Linked DNA regions of Astyanax mexicanus. The protein of the gene in region 3 purifies or fractionates together with the protein of the main gene of each other region. This does not show direct contact. Links are inferred from orthologs where the notes say so. Each region holds a gene or a part of one and is shown on either strand. Other genes may lie near its edges. The genes, in order: ufm1, pip4p2 and cdk5rap3.

Region 1 (7,215 bases), on a different chromosome or scaffold from region 3:
GATAGATAGACAGACACAATACAATACGAAACATACTTAAACTCCCACTTCTTATCAGACAATCCATAAACTTGCGCAATAAGCCCGGGACAAATCTTTAACTATTGCATAACTCTCAGTGCCTAGTGGATGTGAGTTTAAAGAACCATCAGTAGTCTATTCTTCTCAGCTCCATCCATCGCCTCCAGGGAGGCTCCTGGCTCCAAGCCCTGATGTGCTCGCAGCAGGGTCTGCCCTCCCAGAATGACTCATTACACTCCAGCTTCCAGCTTCCATCACTGACAATATACTGACAAGCTTTACTCCCACTGATGCTCTTTTCAGGAGTGACAGCGGCTCAGACACAGCACAAACTTACTGTAGATGATTTCCAAGCTGCCAGAAAAGAAGAAAATATAGAACTGAGATGCCTAAATACGATCTTTCATAAGAGCCAGCAGGTGCTCACTTTGTTTAAGACAGGGATGTCAAGCTGGGTTCGTTCCAGGCCACCTATTTCTGAGCTTGGAGGTTGAACATGGAGAGGCTGTTCATTCCAGCTGGTAACGAGGAAATATGACTTCACTCTGTTTGGGTTAATGTTGAAAGATACCGCCCACTAAAATGAACAAAGGCTGGAGGTGTGGGGAGTACAAATTCTGGTTTCTGTTGCTGCAAACTATATATATATATATATATATATATATATATATATATATATATATATATATATATATATATATATATGTATATGTATCTCCAAAACAGCTAATTTACAGGAGAGAGAAGAAACCTTCTGAACTTAAATGGAAGTCAATGTAAAAAGAGTTTATGTCAGGTCATTTTGAGGTATTTCTATTGGTCTGTTCATCAAGACATTTTGGCACAGGGTAAGGCACAGTTTTTTTCTGTTCAAATTATGTAGTAAACTAAAACTCATTTTCTTTGGACAGTGATGATATATTACATGAAACAATACCAATACAGTGGCAAAAAATGTATGTGAACTGTTTGGAATTTCATGGTTTTCTGCAGAAAATTGGTTATTAAATGTGATCTGATCTTCATTCAAGTCAAATATATTGACAAATATATTGTGCCTAAAATAATAACACAAACATATATATGATCTTCAAGGTCTTTATTAAACACATTCATTCAACAATTAAAATAATAATCTCAATCAGGCACTTCCTGTAGCTCTGTTTCAGACCTGCACATTGTTCAGGAGGAATTTTAGCCCATTCTTCCTGGCAGAACTGCTTAAGCTCTGTCGTATTCCTTGGACATCTCAAGTGTACATCTCTCTTCAAGTGAACTCATAGCATCCAGTTCTTTGACTTGGCCACTCCAAAAGGTGGATTTTTTTTTTACATAGCCAATCTGTTGTTTTGGGTCATTGTCCTGTCGTAAGACCCAACTTCTACAGAGGTTCAGTTGATTTACAGACACTCTAACATTATCCTGTAGAATATTTAGATTTACTTGTTAATTCATCTTCCCCAAATCAGGCCCAAATCATGATGTTCCCTCCACCATGAGGCAATAGTCTTTCCACAAAACATTTTGCCAGTAACATTGTGAAGTGTCCATGTGCTTTTTCGCAAACTTCAGGCGTGCAGCAATTTTTTTGTTTGTTAGCAATGTCATCCTTTGTGGTCTCCTCCACAGACATTGTGCTTGTTCATTGTTTACAGATTTTAGTGTGGGATAAATATTACTACATATAAACTTTAATAAATACCACCACACATAGCTAGCCAGTTTTACAGTCTAAAAAAAGTGAAAAAGTGAAACAGTGAAAAATAATTATAATTTGTATATTATTATTAAGATAAGATCCATTTACCTTATAAAGGTTGAGCCTCCAATTTACAGTATTCCAATCTTTCAATATTCATGCAGGAGCTTGTTCTTATATAACTGGCTCGGCAGCTTTGCAAAGATGGCCACCAAGTAAACAGACTGTCCTATAAAGACTTTAGCACTGAACATGCTCCTATTCAAACCAGCCAATATCAAGCAAGACACATAACAACGATAACAATCTTAGTGTGCTCGCTAATTTGTTATGTGAAATAAAACTGTAAACTAAAACAAGAGCCTTGGTCTAGACTTTCAGGTGTAAAAATGCACTTACTGAACGTGTACTGTATTATCCACCAAATTTCCCACTTATAAACAAGATTCCTTTTTTACATGTCAGTAAACTGGCGTTTCAGAGTCTCCAGCACCACTTGAATGCAGCATAACACTCTCTGAAGGCCTTTCTAATTAGTTGTTGATATCAATCAGGTTAGGCTTAATGAAGCAGAACCCAGGAGTCTGCAGTGTGGTGGTCCACAAGGGCTGGAATCTGACACATGCAATCTAATGTGTGATGAGCATAACACTAGCAGTTGTGTATGTCTGTGTAAAAGGTTTCTCCCAATCTTTAGAAGGTTTTCTTGCAGTGTATCTCTGTAATTTGCAGCACCCATCCGTTATTCTGTAAAAAAATAATAAAACACAACAATTACAAAATCAATGTGTATTAATGCATATCCAGTGCCAGTCAAAATCAAATCAAAAACACACATTTTCATTTAAGGTTTTTAATTGTTCCTACATTGTAAGTCATCCAATCTATGAAGGAACACATAAGAAATCATGTGGTAAACTTACTATGTGAAGCATCTACGTGGTTCTTATCTGGGCTGTTGTTAACTTGTTGTTTCTGAGGCTGGTAACTCTGATTAATTTACCCTGTACAAGAGGTAACTCTTGGTCTTTCTTTTATGGGGAGGTCCTGATGAGAGCCAGTTTCATCATAATGTTTTTGATGGTTTTTGCGACTGCACTTGAGGATGCTTTTAAAGTTATTGATTTTTTTAATTAACTGTCCTTTATTTCTTAAAGTATTTTTTTTACTTTACTTAGTTGAGTAGTTCTTGTCATAATCTGGATTAGAACATTACTCAAATCAGGCTATTCTCTGTATACCTGTAACTCTACCTCTTCACTACTTTACTTTAACTGATGCTCTCAAACACTTTATTAAGAGACAAGAAAGTCAAGTAATTAACTCTTTGCAAGGTCAGAACAGCTGTTAACTGAAAGCCTCGCCACGTGACTCTACCTTATAAAGCTAAACAACACAACTAGACAACTTCAAAACGACTCTGAAAAGACTTGTAATAGATTAAGTTTAAAGACTTAAGTCTGATGTGGAATAAAACTAATCTCTATTTTTAATCTAAGCATAATTTCATTGGAAAATAAAAATTGTATTGAGGCCTCCCTAGTCCAAACTTTTGACTGGTACTGTAAATATCTATTTGTTAAAAAATAAAAATAAAAATAATAATAATAATAATCATTTACAAAAAATAATATAAAAGTGTAAAAACATATTACAGCAATAGAACAGCTTTATCTAATTTAATTGTTATGAAAAATCTCAATGTTTGGAATGTATTTAGATTTATTACATAATTTAAAACTGGCATCTGTCTTTTAAATGATGTCAGTAGGGCACAATAAATGGCAGATGCTTCAAAACCTTTTACTTTTTGTTTATTTATTTATTTATTTCACATTACTTAGTTACTAGCGGTTCATACATACATTTGGCCAAATACATTTGCCAATCATACATTTTTTTATTCATGTAAAACTACATGTTATTGGGAGCAAATATTATCACTGATTATTACTGTCCAAATAGACATGATTTTAAAAAATAGTTTTCCTTAGACCTTTTAGAAAACGATTAAATAATTAAAATAACGGTTTATATTTTTGTTTGACCATTTTTCTATTTTTCATTTTCATTTTATTTTTTATTTTTCTGTATTTAACAGTGTTATTTATAAAGCATGAAATCAGACTGTCAGAGACAAAAACTAGATAAAATTAAAAACGTCAACAAAATAAAAAGAACGCCATTTTTAGCTGATTAAGATAGCTAATTAGACTACTATAAGTGAAAAGAGTTCCAAACCACATAAATCATGAGTCGAATTTCCTGTGAACCAAAACTCTAGGAAATCCTCGATTCGCTTATACTCAGAGACTTACGGTAGAATAAGGGCACCAGTGAAAGTTGCCTGACCGCAAATACAGTTACAGCTTTTGAAATAAAACTGGTTTTAATGAGTTCACGCGTTTAAATTAAGAGTATGAGAGATAAATGTGGACTAACTGACAGAGTTCAGACTGCAGTGATGTGTGTGAAGGAGGAAAATAAGGCTGAAGCAGACTGACTCTGTTCTCTGAATGGGTGACGTGTTCTAAAGGGTCCTCGGCGCTGTTCCTGCTGGGTGTAAACAGTGTGCTGTTCACTGGCTCTGCATTAATCATGTAACTGTTCTTATTTTACCGCTTTAACTAACCCGGTTCAGGTATTATATACTGGGCCAGTTCAGTACCGAGCTGAATATATGTGTCTGTTTATGTTTTAGGTCTAAAGTAACGTTTAAAATCACCCTGACGTCCGACCCCCGGCTACCTTACAAAGTGTGAGTAACAGATCTCTCTTTCTCTCTGTTTATTATAAAAACACAGAGCTTATTTATCTTTATAAGGCAGTAATTTAGTTATTTAGCTAGTTAACGCTGTGTTTGTAAGTTCCATTCACGCACTCGATTGGTTGGCCTGCCGTTTTCTTAATGTAATGTTCTTAGTGTTAAGTTCATGGTAAATGTGACAGCTTTCATTAGACTAAAGCTAAAGCTCTTACAGTAGCTAGTGTTCGTACATTTTAACACTAACACATTTAACTACTTACAGCAGAGATTATTTTACCTAATAAAGTGACATTTAACTGTTTACAATTAACGTTACATGGAGAATGTGATTACTAGCCTAACTAGTTAGGATTAGCATTAGCTAACTTACTTCCATGCTACTATCTACCTAGTTAACCTAGCTAACGTAAAATTCCCACACATCTGCGGTAGGTAACTTAGTTAGCTAGCTAAATTCCAAATTCCTTAAAACAGAATATTTAAGCTGTTGATTAAAAAAAACAATATAGTGGGACAAATTCCAAACTTTACTTTCAGTCCTGTTTCCAAAGTCACTTAGGGTTAACAACGTTTTTTTCCTGAAAACACACAAAATAATTGACAGTTGTTATGGCTAATTACAAATTAGCAATTGTTTAAGAGGAATGTCGAGCACTAGAACCAACCAGAAATTATACTAATCCAACATTTAAAAAAATATTGATTGAAAAGACAGAAAACAGGAAAACAGGTAACATTTTAACAGCAGCTAGTTCGCAAGCTTACAACTCCCACACATCTTCATTAGCTAGGTTAGCTAAATAACAAATTCCAAATCCGCTGCATTAAAACAGAATATTCAAGGCTGAATTTTAAGCTGGTGATAAAAAAAAAAACAAGAAAGTGGAAAAAAAATCCACACTTAACTTTTCCTTAGTCCTGCTTCCAAAGACACACTTCCTAAAATATTCACCTAGGGTTAACTACGTTTTTCCTGGAAACACACAAAACATATGGCTGTTGTTGTGGCTATTTACAAATTAGCAATGGTTTAAGAGGATCGTCGAGCACTAGAACCAACCAGAAATTATCCTAATTTAACATTTAAAAATATATATATTGAAAAGACAGAAAACAGGAAAGCAGGTAACATTTTTGCAGCAGCTAGTTCGCTAGCTTACAACTAGCATCTGTATTAGCTAGGTTAGCTAAATAACAAATTCCAAATCAGCTGCCAGTTGTAAATGCCTTAAAAATCATTAATAATCAGTTATAACACATACGTAGAAAGGGCAACAATATAGATGGCTGTGAGTTCACTATTTGGCAAACAACAGGTCATTGTTGCTTTTCCTATGTATGTGTTATAACTGATTATTACAGATTTTTAAGGCATTTACAACCTAATTAATAACCATTAATAAACTAATTGTAAACCAATTAGAAACCCTTTATATAGGTAGTCTTATTTAAAAGTGGAACCGAAATGTCTATAGTAGTTGTGCAGTGATTCACAAAACTTTTTTTGAGTCAGTGGTTTGGTCATGGCTGTTTTTTAGGGTTATAACACTAGCCAAAAGTTAGCCATGTACAAGTTTAAAATGCTACGATAATAATGCTACAGTCGAGTGCTGTCGTAAACCAGGAAATACTACTGTTTGTATCACTTGTAATTTACACTGGAACAGCCAGTGAGTTCAGAATTGTGTCTTTTTGTTATTTTAGGCATCTCTTCTTGTCTGTAGTATATAGAATAAAACGCCAATGTTCATTTTACTCAAACATAAACCTATAAATCTGTATAAAAGCTGTTTTTTCTTGTTTTTTTTTTTATCTTATTTAAAACCTTTTTTTAAATAGCAATTATTTGACAAACCTGAATTTACCTGTTTGTGCTGAATCATAATTTAACCAGGTAAAGCATCATGTAGGCAATCAAGCTAAATTTAAAATATTTTTTTAAAGCATGAAAATGCTAGAGCGCCACAGATTTTACATCACATTTGAGTGTGAGACTGCACAACAGACATGATTTGAAGTATAAATTGGCATTATCATCCACATTGGACACATTTGCTAAATGAGCTGTTAGTGGCTGAATGGTCTATCTGCAGATTTAGATGCTTTGAATATGGATTTTGTGTTGTTGTCTGAGATTCCTGCTGTTTGTCTGGCTTTGAGCTATTCCACTCTTTAAATGAAGCGTGTGTTGATCATTTTGATGATGCTTTAGGAGGAGATCTGATCACTGCTCGGCATGTTTGGTGCTTAGGCTGATTTGCTTTCATCTTTTACTGTTGCAGATTAAGTGTCCCTGAAAGCACGCCCTTCACGGCGGTGCTGAAGTTTGCAGCAGAAGAGGTAACAGATTTTTTTTTTATAATTGCAAAGTAAAAGCTTTTGCATTTTGATGAAACTGTTGAAAAAGAGATTTAGCTTAATATTGGTGAGCTTGCTTTGAGTGTTGACACTGGCCCATCTGTCCCTCTAATGATGCGTTGCCTCGTTTTCACATTAGTCCGTCCCGTTCAGGAGCGATAAATGATTCCTCACGCAGAGAGCTTCAGGCTGATAGTATTAAAGGCACTGCATACCTTGTGTGTGCTAAATTAATTGGGTATGTTTAAAAAGGAAATTCACCAATTTCTTTTTGCAGTTTTTGCATATTTTAATCATTAGCATGTAAACAAATCAAGTGTGAAATGCTCCAGACATCTTAAAAGAGTTTTCTGCTTCTGAAATCTATGAA
Region 2 (7,848 bases), on a different chromosome or scaffold from region 3:
GACACATATATTACCTTCATGGAAGAGTCATCAAAAGATAATCTTTCCCGCTTCCTCACTACGAAAGGTGAAATATTTGGGAAACAAATGTGGGGGAAAATCTTTGAAAAGAACAACTCTCCAATTGTGAAGAGCAGGAGTGGGTCAATAAGGTTGGATAATGAACTGAATAATGCTGAAAATGACCATAAACACACCTCAAAATCCATAATGAACTTACAATGATCTTAACAGGTAAAAACTCTAGGTTATGCTATGGCCCCCCACAGACCTCTGACCTAAAAGCATTATTATTTGCTTTGGCCCCCAATTTTTTGGTTCGTTTTTTTTACTATACAAGATCCAAATTTTCCCTAAAATATGAAAGAAACGCATAGTAATTAACTTTATGTCTTTCAGAGATATGCTCATGGGCTCTAACTATTCATTGTAATAGACATTTTGGCCAGGGCTGCCCAATGTTTTGCCGGTTACAGAATATGTAACATTGTTCATATGCAGAAAAGCCATTCAGATCAGAGGCCTTTTACATACAGTATATCTGTTTTAAAGGTGTCGTAACAAAACAACATATTCAATTTTAAGGAATTAAGAGAGATAAATAATCCAAAAAACAACAACACAGGATTCATGATGTAGGCACATGCACAAGAGTATAATTCAACATTTTCAAGCACTATGTCCTTATATGGAAATATGGTTCTTCAGTAAATGCAATGGTTCTATTTAGGATAGATGTATGGGCATACCTGTTTTTATCTGTTTTCTTTTACCAGAGGGCTTTTGGACTAGCTGTGGCCTACTGGTGTTGCAACGATTTCATGTTGAGGCATTAAGAGAATGAATGTAGATTACAATGCAATAAGAATCAGTTCTGTGTCAGTAATAGCCAGAGTTCACATATATCAGACCAATAAGTGTACTGGTCTTAAACCAGCTGTTCTGCCAACATTTCAACGCTAATTGTGTCTCAACAAAGTGCTATACATTGTTCTGTCGTGACCAGAGCCCAGGTAATCCCTATTAAAGACAGAATGCGAATGAAACTGTGGTCAAAAAGAACTAAATTAGCAGTAATCCAGGGGTAAGAAATACCAGGACAGAAAGTAAAGCCACATCATAATGTTCAAAGGTAACATTTCTAAACCTGCATATCTTTGTCATTGACAACATACCTATATATTCTGTGTAAATATGGCATGTTTAATGAAAAAAGCAAAAAATATCCCTTCAAATGGCAAAAAGAAAATAAATCATTCTTTAACCGGAAAACTATGAAAGAGTATAAACAAAATAACAGGTTTTCATACCCAGGTTAGCAAAGCTGTCATGGTTGGGGTTTCTTGAGCAAGGCCCAACTGTGGTCCCCATGACCACTCTGCTCTCTGATGCCAGGGCAATAGCTGCCCACTGTTCTGGGCATATTTGCTTATTAGTGTATATGTACAGTATCTGTTCACTGAACAGGTGGGTTAAAGGCGTTGTCACTAATAACATCACACCATATGTTTGTGAACACTAATTGCATTCTGCTACTTTTAAGTTGCTCCCAATGCTGACAATGATGTTGACTACAGGGGTATTGCACTGAAGCTACCTTTATAATTCAGAGCTACATTAACATTGTAGCTCTGGGGCAAATCACAAAAGCTAACTTTTGACACTGAAAATGTCTAACCCATGTTTGTTGAGTGTAGAAACTCATGAATAGTGTAAACGTGGGGAACCATTCATACAAGACAGCAAGACTGCAGAAGTTTCTCATATCTGTAGCTAAGTGAATTCAGGCTAGTACTAATAATAAAAACAATCTCTTGTGTAGTTTTGACTAGTTGCAATGTGCATTTTGTGTATGTTAACATATTTTTTGCTAAATATCATTTTAGATATATGTAATTTGAGTTTTGACTAGTACAAATAACAGTACTGAACAGTAGAGCTTTTTATTAGTAGGAATTACAGACACCTGCATCTGATTTTTTACATGTTAACAACATAATTATAGATAAGAAATTCTATGTAAACTAATGGTATCATATGACTAATCAGAATTAGAGTAAGGAAATGTTTGCATGATAATGTGTCTAGTCTAAGAGGATTTAGGCTATAGGTCTGTGTACTTGATCTTATCACTAGTTTCATAGCTGTCTGTGTAATACATTATAGGTAATTAGAGATATTAGCAATGAAATAAGAGTTAGATTTCTGATTTTAGGAAAAAACGGCTTACTCAAGGTGGACTCATGAATGGAAAAGCACACAGGTAGGTTAGGCTAGCTCGCCTGGTTTGTTACTCCCTGTGTATGGACTCCACCTATAAATCCGTGCGCTAGTTCCTCTGTTTACTGTTGTGTTTCAGCACTAAACGCTGGAAAGGGCCTTTCACAGAACTGACCAGTGCAATTTAATGTGCAATAACTCCAGTGTGACGCTTTTTGTAGTGCTGCAACACCCTCTATCCTTCAGTACATGGCCCCCAGTTCGGTGTCAGATTGCAGCCTGTAGCTACACCCAGGCTATCTTACGGTAGTGTTTATTATACAGATCATTATTATTATTATTATTATTATTATTATTATTATTATTATTATTATTATTATAATGTAACCTACACTCCAATAAGCCTCAGACCAATCTACAGCAGCACTGTCGTTTTTCTCAGGCCTCGCTCCCTCCCTGTATTTACTCTTCCCCTGCCCTGCCTCTTCCCCCCTCCGCTCTCCCAGGCCTCGGCCGCATCGTGTTGCGCGGCGGATGGAGCTCCGTGCGGCGGGCGGCACTCTCTGCGGCCGCTACGCCCCAAAAATGATTCAGCAGCTCGGCGTCCGCCGCTCCTACCTCTCGGGCTGCCGCTGCCCTCCTGCAGGTACGGCGGCGCTGTGGGCGTGACATTGCCCGAGTTCTGTCCGGGCAGCAGCGGCGAGCGCTCGTCCATACCGTCGGAGGCCATCCTTACAGCGGGTCCGACTGAGCAGAACAAAAACACAACAAACACACGATCTCCCCCACACACACACACTCACACACGCTCCGCTGTGGAAATGGGGGGGCAGCGGAGATCCAGCACCGCTCCAGCAGCACCAGCAGGAGGCGGGGCCAGTGACGCAACCGGGGTCCGACACCGAGCGGTGGGGAAGCCCCCTACTGGCCCTCACCAACAAACAAACACCTCTGCGTCCCTCACCCAGATAGCACTAGACCAGGGTTGGGCAATTTTTTTTTTTACCAAGGGGCCACATACAGCTCTGGAGAAAATTAAGAGACCACTTCAGTTTCTAAATCACTTTCTCTGATTTTGCAATTTTTAGGTATATATTTATGTAAAATTAATATTGTTGCTTTATTCTTTAAACTACAGACAACATTCCTCCTAACTTTCAAATACAAATATTGTCAAATATTGCCTACTGGTACCTAAATCTCTCCACTGTTTTGTATAGAGGTATTAATCCTGTTCAATATATAAAAATCTAAGTAGATAAGCGAGAAAACAGTAAAATAGACCTGATTTCCAAATGAGATAAAAAATAAATATATTTTAATTTCTGCAACATTAAATTAACAATGTAAACAATTGTAACATCTGACTGTTAATGTACTTAGAATTATCTTTGCTGTAATGTGCTCACTTTGCCATTCTGAAGGTCTTATTCTCTGGTATATGTGTTATAGCTGTTTAAAACATTCCAACATCCTACTTTAATTAAACTGAATTAATCATTTGTGCTTCTTTTTCTGATTAAATAATCAAATCACTCCTGTTCTGTATTGGCCAGTTTCAATGCAGATTAATGTGTTCAGCCAATCAAAATCTGAGATTTGGTCACGCGCCAACTGCCTGATTAATGTCCTGAGGAAAAAGAGCGGCTGGAGCTCGCCTGCTGGTTTGTGTGTTCAGCAGGACTACTATCACCGCTTAAGCAGCAACCTAAGAGGAAAGTTATAAATAGCTTATATAGTTTACTTCACTTAATTTTACTTAATAGGTTGTAGTACATTTTACAGTGGTTAGACCTTTAGCTAGGTTATCTAACTTGCTAACCTGTCTAATCTAGGCTAAATTTCCTAACGGACTTTAGGTTAGCTAGTTAGGTTAGTGAGCCAGCTAGCTAAGCTAACTAGCTATTTAGTTAGCTAACGTTAACTAGCTGGCCATGTAACCAGCGAAGCTGAACTAATTTAGTTTACAATGCTGTTATAATGTTAGGTTTAATAAAAAGTGAAATATTTAGTCTAATAAGAAAATATATTTATTTTTCAATATATTCATGTACTTTTAATAAAGTGTAAACAAACTAGCTGCAATGCTAACGTTAGCTGGTTAGCTAGTTATGTTAGCTATCTGTGTGGCAACTGGAAATACGAAGCTAATTCCAGCCTCGTCACCAACACGGATTAAATTCGAAATTAATTAATTCGAAATTTAATTTAACCCTCAATATAGCTCTGCATAATTTTATTTTATTTTGCTATTTATAGGTAACTTATGTTTACTACGGACATTTCTCCGAATTCCAAATAGAAATATTGTCATTTAGATCATTTATTTGCAGAAAATGAGAAATGGCTGGAATATCAAAAAAGATGCAGAGCTTTCAGACCTCAAACAATGCAAAGAAAACAAATTCATATTCGTAAAGTTTTAAGAGTTCAGAAATCAATATTTGGAGGAATAACCCTGTTTTTTTAATACCAGTTTTCATGCATCTTGGCATGTTCTCCTCCAGTCTTACACGCTGCTTTTGCAATATCAGTTTCTATCCGGTTACCGTTTGAATTAATATCTAATTAAATCACCTGAAACAAGTTCCCAGCTGGCCACCAATATTAATAGTCATTAATTTTAGGTTGAATGTTGGTCATGAGGTCAGATGATAAAAAGTTTACCTCATGATGATAACGTCTAATGCTGTTACGTGCCTGCAGGATTAATTTTCTGTGCTACTTGTTCTAATTTCACTTTTTGCAAAACAGTATAAATAGGGAGAAACAGCATTTCAAAAGCTTGATTCTGCTCACTAATTCAGTTTTTGCTGGCTCTTAGATTTTGATAATGTATTAGTAGATATTTTAATTATTTTAACAACCCCACAAATAAAGCAAACATTTTGCACTGGCAGTGCTCCACAGTGTTATAACTCCCCCTTCTGGACTGTTTATGTCTCTGCACTTTTATAATAATCACATAACATCTTCATTTTGCTTCTCTATTAGAACAGATGTAAAAACTTACTGAACTAAAGAATAACACAAACGATAACAGAAATAATAAAAAAAAACACTTTCTACAGTTATTTAACTTGGTAAAAAATGTATTGTCATACCGTTAGCCAAATATTAACAGTTTTGATTAAATATGGCAAAATATTTTAACACTGGCATGATCTCTGCTACAGCAAAATAATAAATATTTTCAGTTGTTTCCTGACAGGTGATAGGAATTAAATAGTGTCTAAAACATGCTGTATGGGGGGACAGGTTTTCTTAATTAATTGTGAATTATTATTAACTTTGGAGACATCTGCATATTATCTAAGATTCGTCTGCGCCATTGTGTTCTAAAAAATTAGATGAAGACTCAAAATCAGCCAGTCCTAGTTATTCTTACTTTCCTTTGACAGTTATTCAGAAGTTAAAAGTCAATGTTAAAACATGCAGAAAAGAGTTTTAAGTGTAATACACACAGGGGTGTGGACGTTATCATGAGTGTAGGAGTGTATCTTGGCTTTGTCCCAAGTCAGGGAAGCCCACCTTATCAGAGAAAAACAGACTGGCATAAAAGCACACCCTTTACCCCTCGCAGCCAATCAGAGGAATGGTAAGGCAGAACTCGCAAATGTTTCGGCACCAAATGAAGCGATCACCAAGAGTACAGAAAAACAAGATAAGCTGTTTTTGACAAAGTAGTGTCACTTGTTTGGTTACCACCATGGCTAAACCACCAGACCACTACACTTTGCAGAGTTAATTCAGTCTGATTAACCAAAAAGGCAGGCTTCGTAAGGTAAGTTTTTTTTTTTTTTTTTTTTTACAATATTATTCAGTAAATATAAAGCCTGTATATGTCTACCTAAAGATTAGTTTGTTATTTTGCAACTAATTAATTGAGCAACAAAATAAAATTCGCTAATTGTGTAAACAGAACATAAGAACAAAACAGCATTCTGTTTCATTACACATTGATGTCCATGAAATAAGAATGTATATAACAACTATAGCAAATATATAACAATACATAAGTTCAGGGACATTTAGTTGTTGTATATAAATGGTTGGTTTAATAACTTTTTTCCCTAAATTATAGACATGCACAGGTTAAAATGTTATATGGTTTTAAATAATTAGTCACTATCTAATAGTTTTTCTTGTATTTGGAACTAATGCACAAGAGTCTTATCAAATTTTGTAAAAATGCTACAAATTAATTCTACAAAAATGTCTCGGATTATATAACAAATGCTATGTCTCATGTTTTAGAAATGACATTTAAACTAAACATTATTATTTTAAAAAACTGTTACATGCATATATTTTAATTTTTGCAATGTTTCTAGTGATTAAATTGTCAGCTTAAAAAAATCATAAAGGGCAATAATATTTCTCCCTAGTGTGCAATACCAGATCAAGCATTAAAGGGACATCTGATCAACCAGGCAATCTGTCCAAAGCAGCCAAAAGCATGTCCAAAGCATCTAGAGATTACGGTAAACTTTGATCTAACAATATATAATATTAGAACATACACATTGCAGCCTTTGTGAACAATGATTTTTTTTGTATTTATTATTATTAATTACTGTTGAAAATAATATAAATGCTGTTTTAATTTGCTGTTTCAGTGTAATGTACTTGCTTTAACTGAATGTGTGTACCCATTAGTTGGGGACTTCCTCGCCGAATTCAAGGAGCAGATCATTGTACGAGCAACACGAGTCAGTGACATCATAGAGGCGGTCTTGTCCCAAAACCTGATCCATGACAGAGCAGCTCGTCAAGTTGAAACAGCTCCTACTGAGCAAGAAGCGATGAGGCTGCTGTTTGAGGCTCTGGAAAGAGAACCTTCCCAACACAGAGTGTCCTTCCATCTAATTCTGAGAATGACTGAGCCTGAACTTATTCAAGAGCTGGGTGAGTTTTTTTCACAGTTATTACAGTATTTCCCTACTCGTATCCATCTTTATATCAAGCAGTAATTACACAGCAAATACATTTTTATAAAACAGTATCTGTTCATAAATATTTTACAAAATGTGAACACTTAAGACAAACAAGATTATTTTTATATTTTTAAGTACAGCACTTAAAACTACTAAATACATTAAATACTGTAATAGCCCTGCAAGGGCCCTGATACATTTTTTTCTTGCCTGTACACCCAGTGTTTTATTTGTTCCTGGACCCTAATTTTGTATTCACAATGCAATGCTGTTTTGTACCTGACGGTAACTTTGTTTTTAAAAAATGCAGTTAGTAGCCTGATAACACTAATAGCCTAATAATAATGTTTAACAGACAGATGTCCAGGTTGTGAACAATAGTACAGGACATAGAAGTCCAAATAGACCCTTTCACAGTTCCTCATTCTGTGTTGAATCTATGGTGATGAAAGGTTATGAAAGAATTGTGTATATTTTGCAATTATTAGGATTTTATTTATTTTTTGATTATATGGGCAAATATAGTTTTCTGCAACACAGACACTTTGAATTCTAAAATGTTTTACACAGATTTTAGAAAGATTATGATATTCAGAAATATATATGGAGTTTTCTGATTTATGGGAATAATGGGATTCATCATTATTAGAGCAAAAGAAAAAACACATTACAAATCTGATGTAAAATTTTG
Region 3 (7,960 bases):
GGATTAAGAAATTTGATTAATTAGCCAGAAAAATGTCTAGACCCTCGTCATCCATACATCTTAATGAACGGTGAGTTGTACTTAGTATGGACCAGGTTTTGACCACTGCCATTTACCATTGTGCGGCTGGTCCATTTTTTGCCTTTTGATAGAAGTCAAGCTCAGAAACACCCACACCTGTATAAATTGTGAGAAGTTTGGAGTGTCTTGTGAGTGTGGATAATCAATGGTCCGCATTTGGGTGACAAGTCTTCATGAATTATTAGTGACATGAGTTTGAACACGGCTTGATAGTGGATGGTGGATGATGTGCCATTCCATTTCGGGCATTTAACATTCAACATTCAATCCATAGTGTCACCGGTGTACTGAGAATACATAATACAGGGCATTACCAACCACAGTGGACAGGGCACTGGGCGGTAATGATCACGACCTGTGCTGTCTGGCTAGAGCTGTTAGTGAGAAAAGAAAAGCGAATATGGAAGAAATTCCATCAAGATTCAATGCAAAACATATACATTACACATGCAGGTCAGTGCAAAAGTCATGGGGCATGATACTAGTTCCCTAGCACTAGTGGATCTTCAGCGCAACCCCACACAGGTCTTTGGACTACTTAAAAGCAGAAGAAAGTCCATAACCATGTCTGCCTTGTTTTTACTTGCTGAAATTTTCCAGTTTCTTAAATAAACTTTGATCTTACCGCAATGCCATACTGCTTGCAGGCAGCATAATAGTGGTCCCTCATGTCTGCAGCTCCGCTCTGGCACTCTACCTCTCGTCTGCTCAGCTCCTGCTGCAGCTGCTGGGCTTTAGCCACTTGCTTCCTCAGAGCAGGACCTTCATAACTCACATTGCGGCTCAACAGACTGGCCAGTTCAGCTAGACAGACATATCAAATCACAAAAATGGTAGTTCATAACAGTTATTAATTCTTAAAAAATGATGTCAAATGTCAAATATGGCATGATTCCTTGACCATCACTTACCTAGATAAGCATTGTCTTTCTCATAAAGTGATATTATTTCCTGCCAGTCCTGTTGACAATGAACAACAAAAATTTAGAGTAATGAAATAAGTCTATACATGCACACGTGTAGCAACAGTCACATGGTCACCTTCATCCTTTGTGATGAATATCTGCCGAATATATTTTTGGAAGAGGCTTCTGTTCCTTTCAGTAATTCAACTATCCTCAGACAGTGGAAGTAGTGAATATCTGGATGACACAAATATTAAAGGTAATAGTGAACAACAGAAAGCTGACCATGGTAACAGCAAAAGTGTTTAAACGCATTTAAACAAGCTATACTCACCTGGCCACTAATACATACAAACATACATACAAACTGATGTCCAGATTCCAATGGCCTTTCATTTATTACATGCCATTTAGATATAGTGTCTAAATTAGATATGACTAATATTATATATATATATATATATATATATATATATATATATATATATATATATATACAGATACATATACATATATATATATATATTGATCTATCCCCTTTTAAAATAAAAGTTTCAACAAATCAAGCATTTATGCCACTTACATGAGCCTGAGAGCAGCTGTCTGATCTCTTCATTTTCAGGCATATCCTGGATAGCAGCATTAATCTTCTCTCTGATGGTCAGTGCTGTACTCTGCCATTTCAGGGAAGTGTGTCTTCTATCCACCAACCAGTCTAAGGAGTTGAAGGAAGCAACTCAGTAGCAGCACATTGAAAAGCTTTAATTGTTTTTGTTTATTTCACAGATTATACAACTCCTGCTGAAGTACAGAATAAGCACAAATATTTACAATTCATATTTATAATAAAATATAGAAGACTTACCCAGAAGTTTACTGGTTTGGATGTCAATTGGGAGATTCTGGATATTCTGCAAGCATTAATGACAAGAAAGTGTCAGACTGTATAAAAGCACTGGTCTTGGTAGACAGTTGTTTACTTTTTCCTAATATTTCTTACTATGTGCAATGTGTAGCATTCTCTTGTGCTACACGTGTATTGCATAGTCTATTGATCAATAATATGTACAATGTCACTATTTATTTGCTATTTATTTACTTACATACATATTGCAAACGTATTGGAGGAACCATGTTTTGCCTATATTTTAAGGTTTTTTTGTGATTTATATCTTGTATTGTTAGGTTCTCTTGTATTTATGTTTATAGACATTTTATTTCATAATGTTGTGTGCCTTCTGACACTTCTGTTTGTCCTCTGCATTGCTGTTACTCTACAAATTTTCCCATTGTGGGATTAATAAAGGCTTATCTTATCTTGTATTATCTTATTACACAGCAAAATCACTGCAAAATTAAACCATACATTTGGACTGTTACTGTATATATGTCCAGTTTACTGACACTGACTTTAGGGGACGTTATCACAGAATCACATATTTCTATTACAAAACAACAAAATATCGCAATGGTCCTGGTGCACGTATTACTAGCTATATACGTGTGAAAAAAAACCTTGAGAACTCAGTGTTGTTGCTTAATCCTATAAAAGCTGATTTATAACTGTTTTCTATACACAGATGACAGCTGGCTCCAATAAACATGGAACATATGGATCATCATATACAATCCAACTACTAGATCTTTCTCATACTTTTAGGACTAATTTAACTTACCTAACGTTACTTATTATACTATATTATCTGTTTGTTCGTTATTTAAACTCCGGCTTTTGCCCCACAGACGTTGTCAAAAGTTGTCAAGCCCTGGTGCAGCTAGCCTAGCTAGGTAACACTAAATTACTTACCCAGTTAACTTTAACTATATAAAACATTAACAGAGAAACTCGTGTTATTCTCACATTACCTCCATTGTGTCCGAGGGTTTCTTGAATTCCCCTTTTTTAAATAAATTGATATATAATAAGCTACATGTCCATCAGATTCTTTAGACTCGATATAAACGCAGATTTCGTTTATATTGCTACTGACACGTATTACACAGCCAACCAATCAGAGCGAGTCTTCAAACGTTATTTTCTAAAAGGGACCAATGAGCAACAGCGATAGTACGGGGGTCTGTTCTGTGAGCAAAGCACTTCAGTGTTGGAATCCTAACACTTTTCAAAATAAAAGACACCAAATATTACCAGTCAAAATTAGGACACATCTTAATTCAGTGTTTTTTCATTGTTTTAACATTTTTTTATTAATCTACAATAAATACTTAATAAACAAAAAGCAGAATATGTATTTTTTGAATATATTTCCAAAGTAGCACCTTTTGCTTAAATGACAACTTTGCACATCTTGGCTGGATTTTCTCATTCAGCTTTATGAGGTAGAGTCACCTGTAATGACTTTCAGTTAAAAGCGTTGCTGAACTTATCAAGAGTTAATAACTTGAAATTCTTGCCTCTTAATGTATTTGAGAGCATCAGTTGTGAGGCAGTCAGTCAAAAATATAAGTATCCTTGAGTGCAAAGACCACTTTATGAAGGAAATGAAGGAACTGGCTTGCATCAGGACCGCCCTAGGACACAGGGTAAGTTACCAGACACAGAAATCGCGAGAGTATTAAGTAAGTTTGTTTTTAATTCTTGACTCCGGATGTCTTCCCTCCGGATGACTTCACTATTAATTTACAATGTGGGGGAAAAATAAAATAAAATAAAATAATAGAATGAGAAGGTGAGTCCAGACTTTTCTTTCTTTCTTTCTTTTTTTTTTTTTTGCAAAAAAAAGTTATTCTAAGTCCTTATATATCAATCAAGACATGTTTGGTCACCAAATACTTACACTGGAGTTCAGTCATTTTTAAATATTGCATTTTAAAGTAGCATTAAACTAATTTGTACTGAACCTAAATGTGCCTTTTTAATTTAATGATGCTAGCTGATGTAAACCCTATTTGCAGATAATCTGATTATTGTATTTTTTTCCAGCAGTCTAGATAAAGAAAAACAAATGTTTTTAATTTTTAGTACATATATCCAATAATAATACTACTAATACTAATACTACAACAACTACTACTACTACTACTAATAATAATAATAATAATAATTATAAATAAGAGGTGAAACATGTATTGTTGTGTTACTTATGTTTTTACTTATGTGTATAAAACCACATTAGATGCTTTAAAGCGCACGAGACGTGTAAAAACGCACCTATTGCGTAAAAACGAAGGTCGCGAGTAATTACGCACCATATGCGTAAAAACGCACGTCATGCACATGTAGGCCCCTGACGCATTAAACGTACAGGCTAAGAGTAAAATCACAACAGCTGTAAAAACGGGACTACACCTAACAGTAGACATTCTGTTATACTGTAATGCTAAATATTAATCTAATAAATGGATCTGGACCCTGTTATCCTGGACAGCCAAGGGAACCTCTGTGGCATCCAAACGATGTATCTGTTTAACATTTTGACAGGATTTAAATCTGGTAACTGCTTTTAAACATTTATCAGTTTTAGAAAAAAACGTTTGCAATAAAAGTTAGCATAGGTATAAACATACAAAAGGCTTCACGGAGATGAGAAAAATTGTCCACAAGGTGGCATTGTCTTCTAACTATTTATCATTATAACAAAAGACAGTTTGTAATCATTAAAACCAGTGCTTGACTATTGTTCTATGAGTAAATGACTTGTCTTTGGGTGATAAGCTAAACATATCCCTGCTGGATGTTGTCTCGGTCTGTGTTTCAACAAGAGAAGCTGGTGTTTTTGGATTTGTGTATATTTTCATTTTTTAAAGTTTCTGCAGCTCTTCTGAAATCACATGCATTTCCACAGTCAGTTCTTATCCCATGACTGTTAGAGTACATATCAGACTGTGTATTCTAGATACAGTATATCTGTGTGTGTCAAGACTACAGTAGATAAAGGGAATAAATATGTATCAGTAATAAATCATTAAATCCATTTCCCAAAAATATGACAAATGAAAGGATAATTTAACAATGTCCAGAGAAAAACACATATCTTCATTTTTGTAGATTTTTAATTTGCAGCATTCTTTGATCCCAAGAGCATTCCTTCACATTGTTTAAAAATTAATTGAGTCTAACAATAGAAACGAAAATTAATTTGCAAGATCAGATAAATATATGTTTGAAGAACAGAATGTATAGTTTTAAGAAATTAACTCTTTAAATACTCCAAAATTACTGGAATATGATTGGAAGTTTTTGTTTCTCCTGTAAAGTTTGAAAAAAAAAAAAGAGATTTGGAGATTTGTGAATAACATAAGAGGGGTGGGTTTGGTGAATGTACTTAATTCCAAAACTTCCTAAACATTTTTGTAAAGCCTTAATACTGTATTTCGGGCATGTCTGTACTTGAGCTCTGGTATTGTCTGTATTAATAACTGCTTTGTCCAAGGCTAATGAGCTTAGCGTAGTCAAGAATTCAGCCAGGCTTTTAAGTTTGCCGTGCACAGGAGTATCCATTCCCTCTTTCTTGTTTCCTTATTGTTTAGTTTGACTCAATCCATTCAAATCACGCAGACACACTGTCGCTTGTGGGACAGAGTGTAAACCTATGGCCCGCCTTTATTATGTCAAGCTCACAAAGAGATATTTGGTCTCCTGTGCAGTGACTGCCAGCTTCTTTGTCTGTGTGGTTTTGCTTGTGCACTGTACAATATTCAGGGTATTGAATACAGATACTGGTGCATCTGCTGTCTGTAGGGGTCCGGTTTGCTGACTAATCTAAATATTAACAAAGCTCAAAGTTTCTAGAGCTAAAATGACAAAAAAAAACATTTTTGGACTGTATTTAGTAAAAATCTATATTTAATTATAAATTTTAATTTTCTTACTGTATCTTGTAAATGACGTATTGTGACAGTTAAGCAGAGCAATCTGCGATACTCTTTTACTTTACATTTGAATAGCAGGCAAACCTTCACTTATCAGAGTTGGAGATCCATTATCTGACTGTGATTTCTCCCACATCATGCAAAAGACTGAGAGCCGGCTCTGTGGAGGCCTCGCAAAAACAAACGATGAAGGAGTCTGATTTATTCACAAGCTTTGGCAGAATGTAATGTGGTTTATGAAAATCGTCAACTACCTTTGTCCTAAATGGTTAGTTGCCATTTTTCTTTATGTTTCTTCTTCTTTTCAGTGTTATAATGTGCATATTTATGAGACAGAATGAGCCCTAGCAGAATGGCCATTGAAATGCCAAATGTCATGGGACAGGAACTAGCATCATGCCCCTTGACTTTTTCCATGTTCCATTGAAGCTGCATTAAATGTGCAAGAATATGCTTGCACATGCAGGTCTAGCCAGCCACTGTAGGTGATAATGCCTTGTATGATTTATTCCCAGCAAACACGTGACACTGTGGACCAAGTGTTAAATTCCTGCAAAATGTTCCATTCATCTGGCACTTACTATTAAGCCTCTTTCAAACTCTGATGAATCACAGCGCTTTGTCTGAGCACAGTGGCCGGTGTTCAACTTTACTCACAAGGTAACACCTCACAACTTATACAGGTGTGGCCATTCCCAAGCAGTTCCCTGATGAAAAAGTTTATTATCATTTGATATACTGCTCTGCTATCCCATGACTTCTGCATGCCAGTGTATAGTAACCTATTATTATTGTCTTTGCAGTATTGAGTGAATCAGGCAATGCTTGTTCTCCTCAAATGCTACAGAAAAAGCACAATGGTAGACATACTGATCTCTGTAAAACTTAATATTTACATGCCTTTAAACTCTGTGTTTCTTTATGTCATTTGTAATGTGAAAAGTGTTAAAGTTTCTTCAACCAAAGCAGTAAAAAAAAAAGGTGTCAACCGATTAAAATATAATCACGTTAATCACATCAACATTCTGTGAAGAATCATGATTAATCACAAGTTAAAATGCTCATACTTCCTTTTATATAAATGTAGTGTGGTATGCATTGCAAACTGGCATACCAAACTGGCTAAGTAAACCTTTTACACTTTATTATAATAGCTCAGTTTAGTTTTAATGATTTTTTTTATTATACAGAGAGAAGTAGAAGAAGAGGAGGTAGGTGTTAGAGAGTGAGTGTTAGTTACGAGATTTAATCTATATTTTAATATTAACAAAATTCATTTTATTAAAATGTTTAATTAATTAATTAATTAATTAAACATTTAAAAAGTAAACAGTTGCAATGCTGGGTTTAAATTGCTAGATAAAACTAAGGATATACAAATGCATAACCAGACACTATAAATAATACATTATGGAAAGAAGTTGAGGTCAAATATGATAAATGATCAATTTTCCTTGAAATTACATTCAAATGTATCACGTTTCATGTTCAAAGAAGTAGATAGATAGATAGATACTTTATTAATCCCCAATGGGGAAATTCATTTGTCCAACAGCACACAAATAATAAGTACTTTGTTGTTTGTATTTTTTTCTCTTGGTGCTGAAAAAAAAACTGGAACTACTATAGTTTGACCACCAGTGTAGACTTCTTGATGACAGACATTTAATTAACAGGAACCCCAAATGTGCTTTTTCCCCCCTCAGAACGTTAAGTACCCTTTTTATTTACCATGCCAATTTTATTTACCATGCCAAGTCAACATTGCACTCCCGCAGGATTGGCTCAGTTTATTGGATGCAGCCCTCCCCCTTTCACTCACATGGCTGTAACATTTACTCAAGTTGCAAAGGGCTGTCCCTAATGTTCAGCTTGGACTGCAACTCTTGTGGGAGGCTGCATCAGCTAGATAGGCTGTGTGCATGTGTGTGTGTGTGTGTAAATCTGGCAGATCATGTCAACACCTGAGCACCAAATGAAAGCATTCAATCACAGTGAGATTGATTAAGAACGGAGACAGACACAGACAGACAACCTTCAAAGATCTTGACAGAGACATTGTGCACAAGAAAAGAAAAGAAAAGAAAATAAAAGAAAAAAGAAGAAAAAAGGAAACAGCTGGTAGATGATACGTGCAGCAA

The links.
Region 1: the proteins of cdk5rap3 (region 3) and ufm1 purify together in Homo sapiens (co-immunoprecipitation; 3 studies listed by BioGRID and IntAct, with this or other methods). This does not show direct contact. The link is inferred for Astyanax mexicanus from reciprocal best matches to the Homo sapiens genes CDK5RAP3 and UFM1.
Region 2: the proteins of cdk5rap3 (region 3) and pip4p2 purify together in Homo sapiens (affinity purification with mass spectrometry; 3 studies listed by BioGRID and IntAct, counting the BioPlex papers as one, with this or other methods). This does not show direct contact. The link is inferred for Astyanax mexicanus from reciprocal best matches to the Homo sapiens genes CDK5RAP3 and PIP4P2.

What each region holds. Positions count from the first base shown.
Region 1 is NC_064427.1:37,354,015-37,361,229, forward strand, and holds the start of ufm1 (ubiquitin-fold modifier 1), read left to right. Parts: upstream 1-4,128; 5' UTR 4,129-4,318; coding exon 4,319-4,320; intron 4,321-4,421; coding exon 4,422-4,478; intron 4,479-6,769; coding exon 6,770-6,827; intron 6,828-7,215. UniProt on the Homo sapiens protein: Ubiquitin-like modifier which can be covalently attached via an isopeptide bond to lysine residues of substrate proteins as a monomer or a lysine-linked polymer.
Region 2 is NC_064410.1:40,374,089-40,381,936, forward strand, and holds the start of pip4p2 (type 2 phosphatidylinositol 4,5-bisphosphate 4-phosphatase), read right to left. Parts: upstream 3,051-7,848; 5' UTR 2,951-3,050; coding exon 2,839-2,950; intron 1-2,838. Other genes in the region: si:ch211-250g4.3 (extracellular matrix-binding protein ebh), read left to right, coding at 6,680-6,704, 6,880-7,128. UniProt on the Homo sapiens protein: Catalyzes the hydrolysis of phosphatidylinositol-4,5-bisphosphate (PtdIns-4,5-P2) to phosphatidylinositol-4-phosphate (PtdIns-4-P).
Region 3 is NC_064422.1:30,384,050-30,392,009, reverse strand, and holds the start of cdk5rap3 (CDK5 regulatory subunit-associated protein 3), read right to left. Parts: upstream 3,010-7,960; 5' UTR 2,859-3,009; coding exon 2,853-2,858; intron 1,898-2,852; coding exon 1,852-1,897; intron 1,702-1,851; coding exon 1,570-1,701; intron 1,224-1,569; coding exon 1,123-1,223; intron 1,042-1,122; coding exon 993-1,041; intron 886-992; coding exon 707-885; intron 1-706. UniProt on the Homo sapiens protein: Substrate adapter of E3 ligase complexes mediating ufmylation, the covalent attachment of the ubiquitin-like modifier UFM1 to substrate proteins, and which is involved in various processes, such as ribosome recycling and reticulophagy (also called ER-phagy).